Linked DNA regions of Styela clava. The protein of the gene in region 1 purifies or fractionates together with the protein of each later gene. This does not show direct contact. Links are inferred from orthologs where the notes say so. Each region holds a gene or a part of one and is shown on either strand. Other genes may lie near its edges.

The links. The genes of interacting proteins can lie anywhere in the genome.
Region 2: the proteins of high affinity cationic amino acid transporter 1-like (region 1) and heparan sulfate 2-O-sulfotransferase 1-like purify together in Homo sapiens (co-immunoprecipitation; 3 studies listed by BioGRID and IntAct, counting the BioPlex papers as one, with this or other methods). This does not show direct contact. The link is inferred for Styela clava from reciprocal best matches to the Homo sapiens genes SLC7A1 and HS2ST1.

What each region holds. Positions count from the first base shown.
Region 1 is NC_135250.1:26,196,464-26,206,906, forward strand, and holds the start of high affinity cationic amino acid transporter 1-like, read right to left. Parts: upstream 4,455-10,443; 5' UTR 4,323-4,454; coding exon 4,187-4,322; intron 3,835-4,186; coding exon 3,733-3,834; intron 1-3,732. UniProt on the Homo sapiens protein: High-affinity, low capacity permease involved in the transport of the cationic amino acids (arginine, lysine and ornithine) in non-hepatic tissues.
Region 2 is NC_135251.1:7,464,262-7,475,777, reverse strand, and holds the start of heparan sulfate 2-O-sulfotransferase 1-like, read right to left. Parts: upstream 5,368-11,516; 5' UTR 5,070-5,367; coding exon 4,005-5,069; 3' UTR 1-4,004. UniProt on the Homo sapiens protein: Catalyzes the transfer of a sulfo group from 3'-phospho-5'-adenylyl sulfate (PAPS) to the 2-OH position of iduronic acid (IdoA) or glucuronic acid (GlcA) within the heparan sulfate (HS) chain and participates in HS biosynthesis.

The sequences.
Region 1 (10,443 bases):
GTTCCAATATTATAAATATTTTTATTGTGTTGTGATATTTGATATACCGTGACCCCGTTCTGACGAACTCAGATATTGCGCGATGGGCCGGCGTTAGGGGTTGAAGCGTTGGACTGGACTATGTTGGAATTGCATGTTAAAAATATTGGGATAAAAAACCATTTACGCCATCCCCTTACAATAGCTTCTAACGCAGAGCATTGTTCAAAAACGCCGTAAATATAATTCCATGTATTTATTACAAGCTATTTCATATTACATTTTCGGCGTTCCCGAGGTATGTGTACCGAGATGGCGCATAACCTGAACCCTAACCTGGTACACATACTATGTTCAGGATGTGCGCCATCTTGGTGGAGCTCCAAATTTTCATGCAAAATTGCATGACGAGTGAAACCAAAATCTCTTATGATCTTGTCTCAGGAATTAAGCAACGCCGAGTTAGGTTAGAACTTGCATGGATGATAGGCTGAGAATACAGGGTGTCGTCGGCATTGCCTACCCAAGTCATTACACCACGGGTAGTGACGGGCATGGGCTTCAAACCAGAGTTGAATACAACGCGGTAACAAACCCAGTAAACCACCCTATTAAAACGTGCATTTTGACCTGGATGAATGAATACGTCATACGCGGTTGGTTCGCAAACGTTGTGTATCGGCAATAATTGCACGCAACCTATAGTATTTGTTAGATTCGCTACCAATTCGACCAACAAACTTTGCACTCTTTATTTACTGAAACAATATTTGCGCAAATTTTGCTTACTCCTTGGTTAAAAATCATTCTGTTACTTTTAGGCGCTACCGGACGTTGATTGATTTAGTATAGTCGCTGTTAATCATTGACAATTTGCTTTCAAACATTGTTTGAATGACCAGCTAAGGACTCGCCCTATTGTTCTAATAAAGATTCTATGAAATGCACTCATCTGCACAACAAGACATGAATGGTTGTATGACACTTCGCACATGGGTGCTTCGTCGCTTTGAGAATTGGATGTAAATTGGCTTCAAGTTAAATTTATTTAAATATATTGTACGCATAACTGCAAATCCACCATTAAATATACTTATCCAGTGAGTATCACTTGCAAGAATATATAATTCACGTTCAAATTTACAAATATTTCATCTGTTACGTAATTTGCGCGGCGGTGTGGCTCAACGGGCTAAGCGTTAGGAATACGCTCGCCACCGCACCTCTAATTACTCTGCGTGGGTTCGCAGGTTCGAATCCCATGTAGGGATGGTTATGTGCGAGAGGATTGCTGGACTCCTCGCCGTCGTTGGGTGGTTCACGTAACCGCTGGTCGGTTACGGCTTCCTCCACCACCAAGTCCATGCTTCCGAAAACAAACAATACAGTAAAAACTAATCCCATAACCGGCTTGGAATGGTAACCGGACGAGAGGCCGTGGTTCGCCATATGGATAAGCCGTCTTATCGGCTTTCCTCTCCCCCGGGATAAATATGTAAATCATAAGCATAAATCATATTTATCAGCGATTACCATTCGACCACTCGAATTGCATCAAGTTAACTCTACTTCTTTTCTCCAACAAGCAAAAATCAATCTTACACAGATAACGAGAATAGAGGATGCACACCGTTTTACGAGGATGGGCACCGGAAAACAAAGCGGGTTATGAATCAGCGACTTCAAATGTATATTTTTATTCTCTCAATAAAAAGATTCTAAGTAAATTCTAACGACTTATTCAAGAAAAAAGGTTGTAATGAAAATTTCAAAACAATCGCACTGTCTTGGCATAAAATTCTTGAATTAGTTTTACGTAAATTTTTCAGTTTAAATTAGTTTATAATAAATTTGATACGGAACATTATGCATTAGTATACTATTGCGGGGATTGTGGTTAAGGAAATCATATATTCCAGGATCCGTTGGTGTCACCGTGATAAATTATTCATTCATTTGCATTGCGCTACTAGAATGCCCATTAGCGTTGGCGATAGTTATAGTGACCTGAGGGTCACTAAAAACCATCCATTTTTATGCGATTCTGTAGTTTATCTATTTTATCGTTAAATATGGAAAGGTTGTAAAATTGTATGTCAAATGTTCGTAAACCGCCAGGTTGACGACATTGGGGACTGCAAAAATCCTGGCAGAATTATAGATTATTTACACGCGGAAAAATATTTTTGCTTTAAGACGGGCAGAATCAACAGTTCTCACTCGGAGTCTCCACTCTGATAAATATTTTTATTGGTAGATTGTCGTGCATGAGAATTGAGGTTCTTATGTCGAAATAATCTTACTTTTATACCCTCGATATAAAAATTGAGTACTCGTAAACGGGGATAATAAAGTTTTCTTTGTCGTAATGACCTTAACTACCTCTTCAAGTGTTGCGTCAATCGGTCTTTGCCAACGGGATATTCACGGCCATAATTCTTTATAGAATTTGTGTACCAAGTTAGGGTTAGGCCACAATTTGATTCCGATTTTCCTTATTTTAGTTATATTACGAGTTCGGGGACTGTCTGTGTTAGCCAAGTAAATATATCCCCTGCCCATACGCTTCCGTCCCTTCACACAACTTGATGTAAAGTAGGCGAAATAAGTTACCACCTCTGTATTGGTACACATACTTCTGGAGCGCCAAAAGTTTAAGTGTTAAAGAAAATGTTCTTCCGTTTTCGTAGAATTAATAAGAAATTTATGGATTTTGTTTTAATCGAGCAAGTCCGTTGTATTCAGATATGAACATGCTAGCTTGATAAGTCGCTCTCGTTCTATACACTATCAGCATTAATATGAGTAAACGACAGGACCGCCAGGTACAAAATACTGCCCTAAATTGAACATCCGTTAATAATCTCCTTTACTGAGATAAGGCACGACAGACTGATAAAATTTATATTATGATCGATATCTGACCTCATATTGGCGATAAAATCTCAATAAGTAACTAAACGTTTCTTCGGGGCATGTGAGAGAAGAGGATATTTAATTCCCCCGTGGCTTAAAACGAAAAAATTAAGTTGTTGCTCTGGGCTGCATGGTCGGGGAAAAATTAACAGTCGACTCCAACTCCGGGATGATTAAAAATTTGACTCCGGCGCATGACTCAACACCAGCATCGAAATACCAGAAAAAAAATGTGTTCTAAACACATGCAAACCGTCTTTGATAGGCAGTTAAGTTATTTTTTTAGTTTCTGTGTAAAATTGATTCGATTACCACTGTACCTGTAACTCTGATTCCGGACACCCAAAAGTTCGAAAATATCAATCCGATTCCGGTTTTAAAATAAAATGTTTAAAACTGGACTCCTGACTCCACATCCCTGCCTTTGCCGACAATTGTAGGACTTTCATATCAATATTTCAAAATGCCACCAATAACTATGAATATTATATTAGTTTTTCTACGTTATCGCAGCAAGAATATCAATCGTATATTTGAGTAGAATTGATTTCAGTATCTTTAAAATACGGCGTATTTGATTGATCAATTATACTTTTAATTTTACATTTCTCGAAATGTTGGAACGATTTTTGAACGAACGATAATTCTAGGTACAAATACTGCGGGAGTCACTTGGCTAGTCCCCGAACTAGTATAGAACGAAAATAAGGAAAATTGGAATAAAATTAGGGCCTAACCCCAATTTGGTACACATATGGTGTCCGCCACCTTGGTACCCATACTTCAGGAGTACCTAATAAACTGCCATATAGACCGCGGCCCGGACTTTTAACTTACCAGATAGTACTGAAGTCAATGCTGCGATGAGAAATGCAATAACAACGCTTGGTCCACTGGTATTCTTTGCAACGGCCCCTGTCAGTACGTAGACTCCCGCACCTGCAACGACAAACGTTAAGATAGGAATAACGCTGCATCTCTTACAACCCTTTGGGGCATTTTTTAATTAAAGGTTAATTTTTAAGATCACGCATTTGTAAAATGTTTATTTCGAAATATTAACTTTAACACAATAAGGGAGATTTTATTTTTTCGGTTCATTTATGAGTGGATTACTATGGCGCAAAAAATAAAACGCCCGGGAATCATCAAATATAAGAATTGATCACAGAGAAAATCGATTGATAGGAACAGATTATAATTTTAAAATTATAATAAACTTAATAAATTATAAAAAAAACTTTAATAAAAATGATCAATTTTTCACACAAACTCGTAAAAAAAAACTCACCCAGAGTCGATCCAACACCAAGAGCAGTTATATCAAAAGTATTTAGAATCCTTCTCAGCTTCGACTCATTCATTGTTCCTTCATCAATATGCTTCTTGCGGGTAATAGCACGAGCAAAATTAGAACACACTTCCATTTTGATTTCAGTTATTAGTTATATTCAAATATTAATATAATCCCTAGCGCTTCTGGCTTTCCTATTTCTACGTCCATAATAAATAAAATACAAAAAATAAATAATGAACAAATAAAAACTTGTTACTCTAACATTACTAATTACTGAAAGAGATGAATAAATGCTACGAACAACACCAAAGCCTTATATTATTATGATGTCACAGATGAAAGAACGTAAATTTGAAATGAGAAAATAATTACTAAATCAGGTTACTCAAATACACGTGTACGGTACTGCGCGTTTTCTATCGCTAGTTTTTCTTTACTCTCGCTCGTTTGCAAATTTCACAAAACCCGTCAGACGTACTCTTGAACATTAAAAAGATTTGTAAATCTGAATATCAATGTGCAAAAATATTATCATATTGTCAAAATTTTATTACATAACGGTGAAAACTGCCCATATGCTTCGAATGGTAATTTTAGACCTTATAAACCTCAATACTGTTAGCGGATACACGAGGCCACCACCTTTTCGCCTTATCTGCTGCTTTTTGTCTCACGCTACGAACTTTTCATGATATTAAACAAAGGCACTTAACTGTATGTGTACTCAGGTTGTTTGTCCTCCAATAAATACGAAATACACACATTGCGAAATATGCTTACCGCAGTGAAATTGTCGGACTGGTATAACAGGCCCTTAGCTGCCCAAATAAGGTACATACTTGGTACTTTTATTAATGGTGTTTCACGAACGCGGCACATATACGATTTGCAACTTCGATAACTTTACTCATTGGTGAAGTATTATTCACTACTAGATTGCAAAATCTTCCACGTGATTGGGAAATGCTGAATCCCAACTCTTCAAACGATTTGCGAACTGATCTGATTTGAATTTTTAATTTAAGGTGACAGGTTGCGACACACTTTCGATTCTGTTTGCTCATTGGTTTGATCAAGGAAATAACTTTCCTCGCTTAACAATTACCACAAGCCTTTGTTTTAAACTTCAATAAGCACAGAGAATGTCGATGTGCACATACTACCTATATATGTAATATAGGGTTTCCATATAGTCTTAAAATGTTTTAAAATTGCAGAGGGAATTTATCGATACCATATATTATTTTGGCCCTCACAGATGTATTAGATAAAGTAAAAATACTTGAATAACTACTGATTAAAATACAACAAACCATTAAGATATATATATTGAGAATGGCTTCATAACAAAATTGAAACTGTAGAGAGACTTAATGGGCATCCTGTATAATAGCCTAACCGGTTGCAGATTGCCAGTCCCCGTAATTATTTGTATTCTACACATCCAATTTATATCCACCTTTTCTCACTTTATGCTTTTGCACAAGTGGACACAGTAAGAATGCTGTGTCAAGAATGGATTGGCACAACTGTGTTGTTGTGCAGCAAGACTCTTGAATCAAATCCAACTTATATTACTTGATTTTTGAAAGGCAGAACCTATGATAAATTGAAACATATGAAAACCAATTAATTGTCTTTCATAGGCTATATTTCCTATAATACATTTCTGCGTTATTATTCTAGATCTAGAGTAAATGCTTTCCAAATATTTATTTTAGGACGCAACAATCAAAAACTTCGTATTTTCGTAAAATTAACCATAAATGAAGAACAAGAAAGAATACTTTAAAACGACAATTCACTTTATATAACATATTTTACGTCTATGAAAAATGAATTCGACTCATATTTACATTTCTAATCTAAAATACATCATAACCGAACAAATTAATCCAAACCGAACGAACTTCCATAAAAAACAACAGTCATGAATCCAACTTCGCCGTGGTTCACACCAGACTATTTTTGTCGGGAGCGCAGCAGTTTGACAAGCCGGCTTCAACGAACATCACGACTTGTCATCACAAATCATTTTTCAGGCGTTTCCGCGCCGGAAACAATTGGGGGGAGTTCGATTGTTGTAAAGCTAAGAAGATACATGGAGTTCCCAACGGCAGCCTACAAAGAATAACATACATATTCTCACAATTATAGTTGTAGACGCAGACATTTGGGCATGTGAATTTTGACTCTATGTATGTCGCAAATTTTAGAATGTCAAGTCACCAATATTTTAGAATGTCAGTATCACCAATATTCCGATAACGTGAGACTTGAGAAAAACTGTTGTTTTTTAGAGGGGGTTTCGTACAAAAAAAACTATGTTTCACACCTTAAAATTGCATTGCATTTTTAAAAAGTTTCCAAACAAAGAATAACATTTATATATATTCTTGAAATTATAGACGTAGACGCCGACATTTGGGCATAAGAATTTTGCCTCTGTGTATGTCGCTAATTTTAGAATGTCAGTATCACAGACCTCTCAAGATTACTGGAAATACAAAAGAAACGAGAATCTCCTTTTCATGGTCTCAGATACTCTTTTCTACACGCTCATCCAAATTAGGTTTGACGGAAGGGGGACTCGAAGCAAGATGTTTCAGTTGGCGATGGTTGGCAGCCCACCTATTTTTGGAAATGAACCCTTTAGCTGCTACGTCTAACTTAACAATTAGAAATTTCATAATCGCTCTTTGCAAATTCCTGGTTACGACCTTGGGTTTCATATATACCTTAAAATCAATCTTTACATTTTCAAATACGCAAATCTACTTTTCTTTTTCAATATTAATATTATAAATGAAATTAAAAAAATGAATTTATAATCTTAAAAGGGTATATTTTATTTTTGTACGCCACGGCTTCCGCTTAACCAGCCCTGCTGACGAACGACGAATTAAGACTGACGCCGAATGTGGCTAATGCGTCGGGGATAAATGAGGAATTCATCCACACTATTAACCCTAGGGTTTCGGCCCGGTCATAAATGGCAGATCTGTGTCATAATTTGGGATTATGGCTAAATTAAATCTATTTTGGGGGGTCAACAGTATTTCATAGGGGTCTGCATGTGAACAAAACCAATTTCAAAACTCAAAATGTTCGAGTTTAAATTATCCATGCTTGATCCGAGTGTTCTCAATTACGGTGACGTCATCATATTTTTTTTATGTATAATTTTTATTTTGCAACAAGGTCAAATTTATTTGTATGAGTATTTCAAAGCTTAAAAATAACCAAATATTTGTTGTTAGTTGAAAACGAAGTATTTTGAACGCGCAAGCAACGTTCTCCGGCTCATAATAAACAAACAAAGATACCAGACAGCACGCGATCAATTGCTCTTCGATAAAACGAATATCACTTCACTTACAAATCCCACTTTTGTTTTATTATGAAGGTGGCGTAAAACTCGTCCAAAGGAAAACTCTTTCTCTCGCATATCAATCACGTGTTGACCACAGCGTTAAAAGTGAGAAACTTTTTCTCGAAATTTTTTGAAATTTCTCTCTTCTTACTGGCATATGGTCGGACGCATTTACGCTACGTAATGTGGGCGCGTTTTAGTGGAAAGCGACGAAAATAAGCTTTTTAGGGACACATTAATGATGTCTTTGGCATTTTTGGTTGGTGAAATATTAAAAAAATTATAGAGGGGTGTCAAAATGACCCAGGAACACCAGGGGTCATTAGGTTAATACCATTTATTAATCCATATGAAAAAGGCTGAAAGAGTGTCTACAGAAGGCAATCACCAGATTTTGGCTCTATTGTTAATCCATAAAGCCACCGAAAATTTCCCGGCGATGTGTTATATTAAAATGCCCGAGGTGTAACTGAGGTATAAAGTAATACGATCGGGATTATGGAAACGCCCTCCACACGCCCACAAATGCCACGTGGTACCAAATTTATTCTCCATTAATAAAAAGACGTACAGACACAACTCAAATCGTAGCCGTATTGCTTAAAGCTCAATTCTGGGACAATATTACGGGTATTTGCCGTAACACTGGTCATAAAAAACTGACCTCGTAATTGGAAACTCGTTGAAAACGAAATACTTCACTCGAAAATAATACAAATGTTACGTCTGATAATCGACTATAGTATGAATAAAGACTACCATACCATACCGTCTTGTTTTAAGATTAAAACTCAAAAATTTCATAATTACTTGAATAAACGAAAATTAAAAAATTTACTTGCATTCGGACGTCTGATTGTGTGTGATTGTACTTAAAAGTTCAAGTACTGTAATCTAGGGCGCTTTGAACACAAGTTCTCTCCAGATTCTAAAATCTATTCCAATTGACCTGGATCTGTTTTCAGGTCACGCTGTATATATCATAAACTATAGCACTCATTTATCGATCAGGAAGCAAGAGTCAGTGACACAATAAACAAACTGGAACAGATCGGGAACAGCCAACTCCTGCAAGACCGTCAATTGATGCTCACACGCCAATGTAATAACGGCACATCGCGCGCGAAGACTAGTGATAATAATACCTGGAGTAAACCATAGGCGCCGCGAATCTTCTCAACTTTGTGAAAATCTATACTTTCCAAGTTTCCATAATGATGACTGGCAGGGCCGGCCTTGACTATCGCGAGCGTCTGTGTAAAACGGATTGCGCGGGGCGCAGATTAGAGATGAAAATTTTACATTTTTTTACTTTTAAGTACAAAGGCAATATAATAAAATCACTTTACAACACGAATCTCAATACCAAAGCATAAACACGCTGACCTATACAGGATTAGAATTCATAATGGTTGAATTTAAAAATTTTCATCTTAGATTAACGCGAGGCTCACGGACATGATGTGTGAGTTGGCCTAAGCAGTGGCTTTCAAACTTTTTAAGCAGCGCCTTCTTTTTTAAATTTTGTCAAGTCTCGCGCCCAATATCCAAAATAAAGAAATTTAAATATCCAAAATAAAGCGGGCGAGATCAAATCTAACAAATATTTTTATTTTTAATCGATTTGCTTCACGCCCCCTCAAAAATTGCCTACGCCCCCTTTGTTTCGCGCCCCATCCCCCTCCCCCACTGTCCTAAAGTCAGCAGTCCTGGTGAGTGCTGCGGAAGATACACAGCGGAACCAACATTGATCATGCTTAGTAAGTATCATATGCTTAATTGAATATCTCAAAAGTCTTTTTGAACGCCCAACCATGGAAAATGTTTTGAAAGCGATTATTAATATATATTCAATAACTGAATACACGGACACTCGTACATGAATGTTCTCCCTTTGTCAGTAAAGACCTGAGACGACCGATGATGATTGACGTTCACTGTAGTTCTAAGAGCCGAAGTTATATAAACTATTGGAACAAACTCAGCAATTTGTTTAGATAGTGATTCTTCATTTTGGAATAAGAGTGTGCCGTGTTTCATATATATTTACTAATTTAGTTACGATACCAACACTCCCTACCACAAGATAGAGTACTTTCCTATAGCGACAAAGCATTTTCTTCGATAATTGATTCGAAATATACTTCTTGGCGGTTGAGATCGATATAATCTTTAAGCGAGACGAATCAGGGTTAATAATGAGGGATCAAGAGACTATGTGCCAATGTACCCGGGACTGGTTATTGCTACGTGAAATGTATACAAATGATTATCAACACCAAAATGCCCTGTGATCTTAAATCCTACAACGCCACAATTGAGCGCTGCCAGTTACAGTTTAGGATTGTCTAATAACGAATTGTTAATACTGGAACAGTATTTTAGTTTCTGAAGATATGTAAAAAGTTCGGTAGTTTACATATCTTTCCAACAGCTCGGCGGGATACGAAGCGATGGGAAGACGGCAGGCGCTGATTAGGAACAGCTGTCGTGCGGATCATGGGTCGCCGATTGATAAAGTTATTTAGTAGCACGACAAGAAACATGACGTATTTGTTTTTGTTTACTATATTTTCGTCATCAACTCTCGGACACGGCTTAAAGAGGCGATGTTAACGACGGTTTTTCGTGATTCCGGCTATTTATATATTTGGTTTCGAAGAGTTTCGCACTCGCTTATTTCATGTCTATAATGTTATTCATGACGAGAAACACTACGTAAATATTGTCTAATAGTAAATTGAAACATCGTGACGTATCGGAATTTCCGATCGACCGTGGTCTTATTATTACGCTATCCAAATCTTAGAAACACAATCCCTTACTCAAGATAGCCTCTAAAATTTATTTCCATATACTATAATGCTAGTAGAAGATG
Region 2 (11,516 bases), on another chromosome or scaffold:
CAGCTTTAATCAGCGATATCTCTCATTGATTTCGATTCAAAATGTCACTCATGGCTCGTTAGACTGAATAAATATATTCAAATCATATCTCAATAGTGTTTAGCATGAACAGAAGACTGTATATGACGTCCCAAATAAGAGTAAATACCTGGCTGTGTTTTTACTACTGCGTGATAATTTTGGATCGATATCTCGGGTCTGATATATATCTAAGTTGTCATTCATGGCTTATTTGAAAGAGGAGGTTATACACAACACACTGAAATAGACAATTTGTCTGTATAACTACCGTACTTTCTTTACTACAGTCGTTACAATTTGAAGCAATTTCTCGAAATTTATTTCGAGAATGTCTACACCGAAAGAGAGTATAGATATCTCGCTCGCAAGGCGACTAATAAAACCATTCGATAAACACCTACGTGGTGTATTTCGCTTATTTGAACGGCGAAGAATATACTTTTTATGGGAGGTGTCAATAGTTACGCAGATTGTCGGAGGACATAGGTCATATGGAAAACCACAGACTCTCGTCAGGTTACCATTCCATGTCGAGTACAACGGCCGGCAACCAACTTGCCTAATGTTAAACAAGTTCATGGACGCCATCTTGTTCCATATTTGGGAAACGCGAAACAATGGAGTCTCATGGGAAATTTTCGTCGTGTTGTTGTACCGAATCGAATAAGTCCGCTGTTATAAGGGCTAGAATGAAACCGAAGGGTGGATTTTGAACTTTAAGATATATGCTATCTAAATATATAACGCAATTGGGAATACAAAACTATCTAATGCGTTAAATTTGACCACAAACACAGCGTAGAACCATTTTTGGTCATTTTTTCAAAGATTTTATAGTGATACGCCAATTTGAGGCTGTAAAATGTCACCGCAACAATCCTACAATGTCATTTGTTCTTCTAGCGCAGCTTGGAGCTCAGCAGTAGGGCATTATGGAGCTTGTCAGACAAAATATGTTAACCAGAAAATAAAAACGGCCATTGAAGCAAAGTTGGGTCGGCCGGTAATTTCGACGAATAAATACAACTTTTCATCTGTGACGTCATAAGAAACGCCATTGTCAAATAGTTAATTATGACGATTGGAATGGCCAATTTACTTCGGAAGCAATTCGGAACCGGTATACTTGTCTTCAAAGACAATTTAATGTACTATAAATGTAATTTGGCCAACATGAAAAGATATAAGCATGTACGGCTAAGATTCTACTTCAAAACGCGACCTTCAAAATTTTTCTACCTAAAATATTAGTGAAAATAATAGGTATGTTTTAATAATTGTGTTGGAACTTCTCATAAGGCGCCGTGTTAAACTGCCGAGAACAATAGGCACAAAATGGCGTCCATTGTCTTAGCGTTGCCTCGCTTATATTATATATACGCTTTGGTCGAGTATGGGATTAGCCAGTTATTTGTTTTCGGAATCATGGACTTGGTGGCGGAGGAAGCGGTAACCGACCAGCGGTTACGTGAACCACCCTACGACGTCGAGGGGTCAAGCAATCTTCCAGTACATAATATCATAGCATATATAAAAGATGATAAGCTTTAGAATTTGGCAGTCTCTACTTCCGTCCAGAACAGATCCGATTCTCATCATCTAAATCAGAGTGATGCACCAAAATGTGTACTGCCAACGAAGTGCAATGTTTTGCGAAAAAACTTGTTTTTCAATGATATCAAATGGCCGATATTGGCTGAAAAGCACTCAAGAATAGAAGATACGACTTAACTATCAGTGAGAATCATTGAGACATGCATGACATGCTAGCATAACTGTTATCATATCCTGTTATCTCGTTTTGCATGTACGCCATACCAATTCCAATTTAGCGATGTTTAAATCAGGCGGAATATTCAAATGTATCAAAATCGGACTCAGTGTATCCTCGCACATAAGAAGACTCCCTAAACCAGCTCTAAAAAAGTGGATTTATAAAAATTTGCATATAAGCCTAACCTACAAATCCTAATCACTGTCAAACCCTTTAGTGTTATCTGAGTTAAGCCCGTATAAGCCCTTAATTTGGTAACTTTTTGTAGTTTTAAACTTGGCTTATATGCGATGGTATACGATATATTTGATAAAGTAAATGCATGATTTTAAGAAATATTAGAATATTTTCATTTGTCAAAGATTCAATAGTGAAAAGAAACATGCTGATTTAAATTAAAAATTCCTTCAGCTACCCAAGTAACAAAAATAGAAAGTATGAAGTGGAACTAACGTAATCATATAAAACAACTACAAAAAAATGGTGTTAAAATGTATTTAAATTAGCAACACACATTTTTGTGGTTACTTAAAGTGGTTTCACTTTCTAGTGCTAAGTAGTTATTGATTTATTTATTGAATAGCAGACCTTGCCATGATGTATTATATTGATAAGGAATTGTGATCAAAGAAAACATGCAGGGTAATTCTTTATACTGATCAATAGTACTAGCTGACATAAAAACGGAACCCATAAATATCCTGATTACTTATACGAATAACACTGGTTCTCAACCAGAGACATTTTCAAATGGGCCACAAGCCTAATAGAAATTACTATGGTTATTGAAGAGTTTCATTTGTGTCATTATAGTCAAATTTTTATTCTAGTAGCAATGAATGATGTTGCTGCTTTTCATTCTAATTATTGAAATGAAAGTAATTATTTTTACGAAAAGAGTCTTGTTTTCTTGTAGTTTTTTCCTTGCATGAGAAAGTTAGTTAGCCACAGAATTGTTATACAATTAAGTGGGCCACGAAAGAAAAAAGGTTGAGCAGCGCGTGTCCCATCACTAATTAATTAATAACTCGCTAATTATACGACATAATTCATCCAAAATCAATAGGTTTCTGATCCGAAATATGATGAATGCACATGCAAAATTTGGAGCAGATTCAACCACGCCTTCGTGAGATATCACATGCATTTAACAGACGGACAAACAGACAAATACCTATCAACATACTTACCGATCTAAAGATTGATAAGTAATAATAAATTGAACCATAGCTTTAGTAAACAAAATAGTACCGGTAATGTGTGTATACGTATTAGCAAAATTATAATTTACAATAATTTAAATTGGTTATATTTTAGGGCATTGTCTTTTCCCGCGACGCTCTGGTTGTCACTAATTCGTGGGCTACATGGGGAAATTTTATTTTGTTTGGGCGATCTAGATGTCTGAAATTATATAACCAACAGACAAAACACGTTGCACACTCTTGGTTTAGAGCAGGGTGGTCTAAACCCAGTGGCTTGCGTCGCATTCGGAGAGTAATCAAAATATCGTATTTTAAATTGCTTTTCGTAAAATAAATCAGAAAAATCGTTTGGCATATTGTTGTTTTATCACTACTGTGACTGAATTGACTAGTATGATGGCTAGCTGAAGCAACTAGCGAAGTTTAAGATGTGATGGGCAATCTAAATTATTACATGGATTTCTATCGTTTTGGTCGGGAATATATGCTAACAATATAGGCATGATAGAAAACTAAACATCGAATGCGGATTCCATTAGCCTAGGTTGGTAATGCCTGATAACTATGTGTTTACACAATAGAAGTGCTTGTTTTGTACTACACTGTTTACCTATTCTTGGTACTATTGTGGCCCGCGACCAATGCAAAAATAATTTTGTGGCCCGCGGAGCCCACAACCTTGGACTAGGGTGTAGTTTAGAGTCTTTAAAATAGCTCATAAATATTTTGAAACCATTGTTCTATTCATTTGATGAGAGTCGCATTCTTATTCTGATAATACTTCTAAGTTTTCAAGACAAAAAGGCGAACATTTAAATTTCTAAAAAAAGTTTCATTTGAAAATATTACAAAAAAATAGGTGCTCTTCGAGCTGGTTTGAAGCAATGTTCACCAAAGTATTTCAATAAAATGCTACAGGAGTTATAAAACTCAAAAATTATTTTTCTGATGTTCCAAAATTTTTCAAGTTTCTACCTTAAGGGAGAAAGCCTTTAAATTTGGTTTTAGTTCGATATCATACCCTCCGGTCCGTATATTTTCTCATATCGGAATCTCTTTGGGGCAGGTTTCAGTACATTTTTGCTTAAAACGGTTGACTGTTTTTTAATGAATTCAAAGTGATTCTTAGCAAAGTTATACAATTCCATTTCCATTTTCCAAATTTTAGAACTGTGAAATTTGTTCAAAGTTTCCTCGTTAGGGGGTACTTTATGTAATGTGTTCCTGATATGGGATTGGGACCCCTCTCTAAAATTGTTTGTCATCCCCCTGAACATTCGAGGCAGAACTGCTTCCAATACTACGACGAAATCTTCCATGTTTTCAGTTAAGCCGACAAGCAAATAATTATTCGCTAGATTCCTTTTAGCTTCTTGTAATGCCCATTCATTTCCAACATCCCAACAATCCGCAGACTGCCCGCAAAAAAACGGGATTTGAAGCCATAATTTTTCAACTGAACAATCGCTATTTCGGCGTCCCTTTTTCACACACTCGTCAAAAGTAGTATCATCACCCTGTCTTGCTCTTTTAAGTCCTTTACGGTAATCGTCACCATACCGTAAAAAGTAATAATACGATACAAGTCTATCCAAAGGGTCCCTAATTATGTTGATATAAATGGGTGTCACCGGACTGCCAAATCGTTTAAAATCAAGATAGGCCATATGCCCATGAAAAAACACTGGCCTGTACTCCCTCCAATCCGTTATATTTTGAATAAGTTTATATTGGTCCTGTACGGACATTATATGACTGTTTTTAGTAGTGTTTATATGCAGAACATAAATCCCATTCCTTTTACAAGAGTCATAAACAAAATTCGTAAAAGTCGTGCTTCCAGTTTTCGGAACTCGATTGTATAACACAACAGTCGAGCTATCGTCCATAAATGTGTGTTTTTCCTCTTCACTAGTTTTTGCGAAATCTCGTACAACGGTTTTTGAAGAATAAATCCCATTGCTTTTTACTTTTAAGAGTTGTAATTCCAATATAGCAAATCCAAGTATGATCAGTAAAGCAAGAGGTATCCACATTCTTCGCGAAGTCATGTTAATTGTCCTACGCATCACCGAATATTAGGCAACTTACAAAGAAGAAAAAGATATAGTATGCAATGACTTGTGTTACAATCCTTGCATTATACGCATTCGGATCCACCTGCGCAAAGGCATAGAGCAAGGTAAGGTAGTTAGTTTCATGTAACCCATCATGTAACCCCAACTGTTAATAAATGATACAATTACTAATTTCGAAACTTCTAATCAGTCATCAGAGTAATAATAGGCACAAACAACACATGAAATTGAGCTTTCTTGATCATTTATCGAACACCTCGACTGGATTTTAAAACGTGAATATTAGCATGCAGCCGCATAAAATTAACAAATAATGAAAAAAAAAATTTTCAAATTGGGCAGAGAACTCATAAACAAAATGTGCTTTCATATTTTGGCTAATGCAATATGCAGACGGTCACAGTCTCTCAATTCCGAGACGTTCCAAAAATTGGTTCAATGAAACAGACACTCTATTTGTCTCTCGTTCAGCATTTCCAAAATAGAGTGGAATTACTGTATTCCCTACTACAGCCTGGGAGGAATTTTGGGTCAGGTATAGTTTATTACTAAAAGTACTTTCAGTAGGCTCAGCTTGTTATTCCGGGTCTCGTGTAGTTTCGTACCTAACGTACTTTGGGTCTCGTGTAGTTTCGTACCTAACGTACTTTGGGTCTCGTGTAGTTTCGTACCTAACGTACTTTGGGTCTCGACCTCGTGTAGTTTCGTACCTAACGTACTTTGGGTCTCGTGTAGTTTCGTACCTAACGTACTTTGGGTCTCGTGTAGTTTCGTACCTAACGTACTTTGGGTCTCGTGTAGTTTCGTACCTAACGTACTTTGGGTCTCGTGTAGTTTCGTATCTAACGTACTTCTAGTGGGCGTAGCATGACAGTTTTTTGACGTGTCAATCCTAACCCCCACCCGACTACGTCATTCTAAAATTACGTCATTAGGACATCACAATCACGTCATAGAGCTTGCCAAATATAAGTACAATCGCCCGAAATGGCATCGGCGCCGACGATAACGAACTTGCTAACGCTAGCAATCTTTCTCCTATTGGGATCGTTGCGACGAGAAAACGAGAGAAATAGCTGTTCGATTTCGGGTGCTCGTCTGCGCGTCTTGGATGACAGGTCGTATAGTTTGAAGGGCTACATTATGTCACTGTGACGTCGTAGTGACATAATTTTTGGATGGCGTAGTCAGGTGGGGGTTAGGATTGGCATGTCAAAAAATTGTTATGCTACGCCTACTAGAAGTACGTTAGGTACGTAACTACACGAGACCCAATTTTTGAATGATGCAGTCAGGTGGGGTTAGGATTGACATTTGCAAAAATTGTTATGCTACGCCCACTACTCCACTAGATAATCTTGGGGATAAGAAACTGCGCCAGACCACGGTCAGACGGTACTATCACTATTAAAATACATGTCTTCATGTACCTATTACCAGACTGGATTCCATGGCAGGTGCACGCCCGAGGGCGCTAGCGCTCCGCAAAAATGCACGCGAGCGAAATCAATTTTGCACGCCGAAAATTTGCAATTGCTCACCAATGTAAATCGGTTTAAATGGTTTTAAAATCAATAATCCAGTAATATAAAGATGCCAAAATATTATACCTCCACAATTGTCGACAAATACCAGCTTGCAAGATTTGGTCTGATCGAAATATTGCGAAGCAAAAAGACCATGGACCTTTCCCCAACCTTTGACCCGCGAAAAATTCCTCTCATTGTTACGTCCTTTTTTGCATCTTGCTGATTGACCAATGTCACGAAGTAAACAAGGAAGTCGATGCTCGGGGAAAGGTCCATATCGTGTTGAATGATAGGAAATAGGAATCCCGTGAGAATAGTTATGGACGAAAAGATCGCCTCCGCACCAATGGCCAAGTACGGCTCTGATTCAGCGTATTTTTCATACAATAATTTTACACGAATGTACTGAACAGTACCGGTATCTAAAGTTGCTCAAACACTCCCAAAATTAGTGACAAAGTATGAAAATAATGTTTGGGGTCAAAGGTCAAACGTCCATTTTGCTCTAATTTGACGTATTTTTTATCCATTAATTCTACGTAAAAACACTACCAAAATTAATGACAAAGTATGTCCATTTTGCTCTGGTTCAACGTATTTTTTATCCAATAATTTTACGCGGATGTACTGAACAGTACCGGTATCCAAAGTCGCACAAACACTCTCAAAATTAGCGACAAACTGTAGAAATAATGTTTGGGGTCAAAGGTCAAACGTCCATTTTTTCTCTGATTCAACGTATTTTTTATCCGATACCGGTAATTTTACGCGGATGTATTGAAAGGTATCTGATGTCAAAGTCAGTTGCACGCGAGTGCAGTTGTTTTGCACGTCGTGAGCTATAATTGCACGCCAGGAATTCTTATTTGCACGCGGGAATTTCTGATTGCACGCCCGATTTCTCGTTCAAAAAGGCCATGAAATCCAGACCGGCCTATTGAGTACCCGTAGAATAACCAATTCCATAACACCTCAAACAACTCAGTAAAGACAAAAAACATTAAGGACATAAAGAAGCCGGTACCGGTACGGGTACGGCCTGCCTGGTACCGTATTGCAGTATTCTCCGAAAACAATCCTGTCCAACCCGTTTTTTTTGTGCCAAATAAATTCCAATGCCAAACGGAATTTTCGTATTGAGATTTTAGAATCGAATTATTATATTTTAAATACAAAGTTTTTGTTTCCATGTTTCGATTTTTTAATTTAAATATCATTCCCCTCAATACACGGTACCGGTACCTATATCTGTATATGAACAGTATATTAAAAACCCAAACCAATACCGGTACCGTACGGTACGAATTCATACCACTACCGTACCTAAGTGTCATTAATTCAATATGTGCACAGGCAGACAGAAGTTGAGTTTATCCACATGTATCCTAATACAATCAGCAGTTGTATATAATCATTTTTATATATAATTTACAGTTCCTGATCGTATTGAATTGAACCAGTTCAAGCTCGGTGTCAACCGGTTTTCACCAGATAACATCCGGTTATAAGCAGACGTGCCGGTAAATTGATTTCCTCCCATTTAAGATGATTTTTAAGTAAAACCCGGCGTCGTGACCACGCACAAAAAACACGGGGCAAAAATTCATGGTCCCGCGCAGAATAAAACTTACAAATTGTTTTGTGCATTTGTTAAATTGTTAGTTTAATCAATGACATTAAACAACATGATAGGCAACTCTGACGTCCCTCCATAAGACTACAGGCAAAACATTGTATTTCATGATACGCTCCAATGCACATATTTCTCGTCGCCTTTCGCGTCCGTTTTCCGCTCGCTTTTGCTACTCGGCGTCTTTTTTACGTGTAGTACCTGCCTTTTTGCGCCTGTAACGAAACAAAATAATCTCTATATCTGAGAAGTTTTGCTTACTTGGAAAGCTGGAATAACAGGCAAGCTGTAAAGAGCAATTCTGGACATCATAGACGTTTTTTTTATCAGAGAAGATTACAAACGCGATAGCGGAAAGATTTGTGTGGAACATTTTGCAGATAATGACAAAGTTCAAAGTTAGTAATTTTAATGTTGTTAATTAATGTTCAATGCGCTTAATCATTGAAATTTCATTTAAAGAGGGTGTCATACAAAACTGTGCTGCGATACAATTCCATAACACAAAGTTTGCACCTATCGAACTTGCTTTTGTAGGTGAATTTATTAGACATATTACATATTCAGTTAATCGTAGGTAACATTGCTGGTACATAATGCATCGTAGATAGGTTTGTTTAAATTTAGGAATTTAGCTCATAGCCCACTAATTAATATTATCTTCTATGCAGGAGGTTGCAGGGCTGAATTCAACTTGCAGCCTTACCGATTACCTGACGATGCTCATTTAGTTTGGCTCGAGCAAGTCTTCTTGAAATGCTTGTGTGGATGGAAACTACCTATATTTTTTGCCTTCCTCCGATTTTAGACAAATTTATTCTGAGGGATTACGCATATAATTCTCACTGATTGTTGGCTGTTTATAATTCCTATTGATTGTGAATTCTGATTATAACAATGAATTGGAAATTTTTTTACCTAATTTACTGGCACCTTTTTCTTGTCAATACTCCAAGCTGAGGTAATAAACATGACAATACATTTATGTCATCTGGAAGCAAAATATGCACACTAATTAATAGTTTGGCACATTGAGATAATACATCATGACAGAAAATACAAGTTAAAGATATGTATGACCATCACATGGTAATTAAAATTAAAAAAAATTAATAGGGGCTGTGGAGTATGAAAAGTTCAAGACAAAGAAAAGAACAAATGTTCATAGCTCATGAACTCCTAATTTTGCCTCCATTGCTTTGTGAAGGCCAATATATTTCGAGTGGCTGAATTGGTTTACCTTTGTGATAGCAACGATTTTGTATTTAATATAGCGAGATTATTTCAATTTAATTGAAGTGATATAATTTCCCAAAGCAATGCTTGAATCGTCTAGAATAGATCAGTGGTGTCAAACTCATGGTTTTTCGAGAGCCGCATTGCATTTTGAAAATTGTAAAAAGAGCCGCAAACAGTTTTTGATAATGTATACTTAAAAGATATTTTTAAGATAGTTTTAGTTTGTGACATATATTGTGATGCAACTAAACAGTTGGATTAAGTTTTATTATTTTCTTCATTTTCAAATGCAATTACATATTAATATTTGCATTCCACTATTATTGCAACATTTGCAAGTTACAGTATTTATTATAAAAAATCGTAAAATTCTATGTACAACCATCAAAATCATTTTTGAACAAGCTTTGAATTAGGAAAGAATAATACATACACTAAAAATAATTTAATCTAAATATATGAACCTAAAATTAACAAAAATACTACAGTATAAACTCAATGTTTTAATAATTACATTTGTCCTGGCGTTTGGCATCTTTTTTGTGTCACCAGCATACTAAGGCCAGTCTGAAATGATTTTATAGTACCAACTCTAACTAACGAGGCCACATGATCATGGGTTTATCTGGATCTTTACGAATGTTTAATTAATTCCAGTAATGCAAAAAAGTTTATCATTTCATGTATAGATCAGTAAAAAAACAAATGACAGATTTTTTCGACAAGACATTTCGCACTACATTGCGTGGCATAGGATTGCTTGAATTATTATTGATATTGATTTTTAGTAACTAAGTCGTTGTATAATTATATTAATATACAAACACATGGAAATTTTCTGTTCGAAGTTGGTCTTCGAATTTGTCATATTGACTGCTGAGCTTATTGTGTTTTTTGATTGTATTGATGGAAATATGACAAATTAAACAATGTGCTTCAGAATTTTGTGAAGAGCAGAAATGTTACAACTCCCATTTTCTTCGAAAATGCCACCTTCTTCATGTACTTTGCGTTTAATTTAATTACTCAAGTGTTTTATTCAAGTATTCTTTTGCTAGCTTGATGTGTATTCTTAATTGGGTCAGAATGTGGACAAAAAAATTAATATTCCAAAACTACTTTCAGTAAATTGTTTTCTGTGTGAATAATCAATTTCACTTTAGAAGGTTTGAAAAATCTATTACATTTAGATAAAAAAAAAAACTTCCAAAATACTATTACAATTATTGTTAAGCGTTCGAGGGCCGCACTGGAAGTTCTCTGGGGCCGCGAGTTTGAGATCCCTGGTCTAGATTGAAGTTGTTCAAAAAATATATGATAGTATTTTATCATGAATGATGATTATACCCCTTCCGGAATTTCTTCTATAGTACTACCAAAAGTTGATGAACCAAATATAACACAGGTGCAGTGAGGTACCCGTAATCCTCATTTCCAAAGCTGTTTTAAGTATGTCTGGCGTGTTTTGTGCCTTTTTACAAATAAGACCGCTTATGCAATCTTACGCTTTGGAATTTTTAGTTATTTTCCTTAAGCCCTGCAGGATGTGGGGGCCATACACAACTCTACCGGAGGGCCAAATGTCTTTGCATGCCTCCATAGGTTGTTTTTCTATTGCAAATTTCTATTTTCTATTGCATTATATTTCTTGGAATCACACTGTCACTGATATGTCGGCAGACTTCTGATATCTCCCCGTCTGCTATAGTTGTCCAGTGAATAAATAATAGGAAATTGAGATTAGACGAATAGTTGAAAGTTTTGCTTTATGTCGGCTTAATTTTTTGATTGATATACTTACTATTTCTGCTATTGCCTCTTGTGCTGCAAGAGTCTCACAATGCTTAGACAGGTTTGTCCACAACTTTCACATCTGAAGAAAGAGAGGAGATTTATTAATTTTCGTTAAGAATAAATAAAGCAGTCTATATGATTCAGAATGGAAAAGCTAATAAATCCAATATCTCATGTTTTATTTAAAAAATAATTTACTGAATTTGGTATATAAACCAACTAATAAAAGGGTTTAGTCAGAAAATT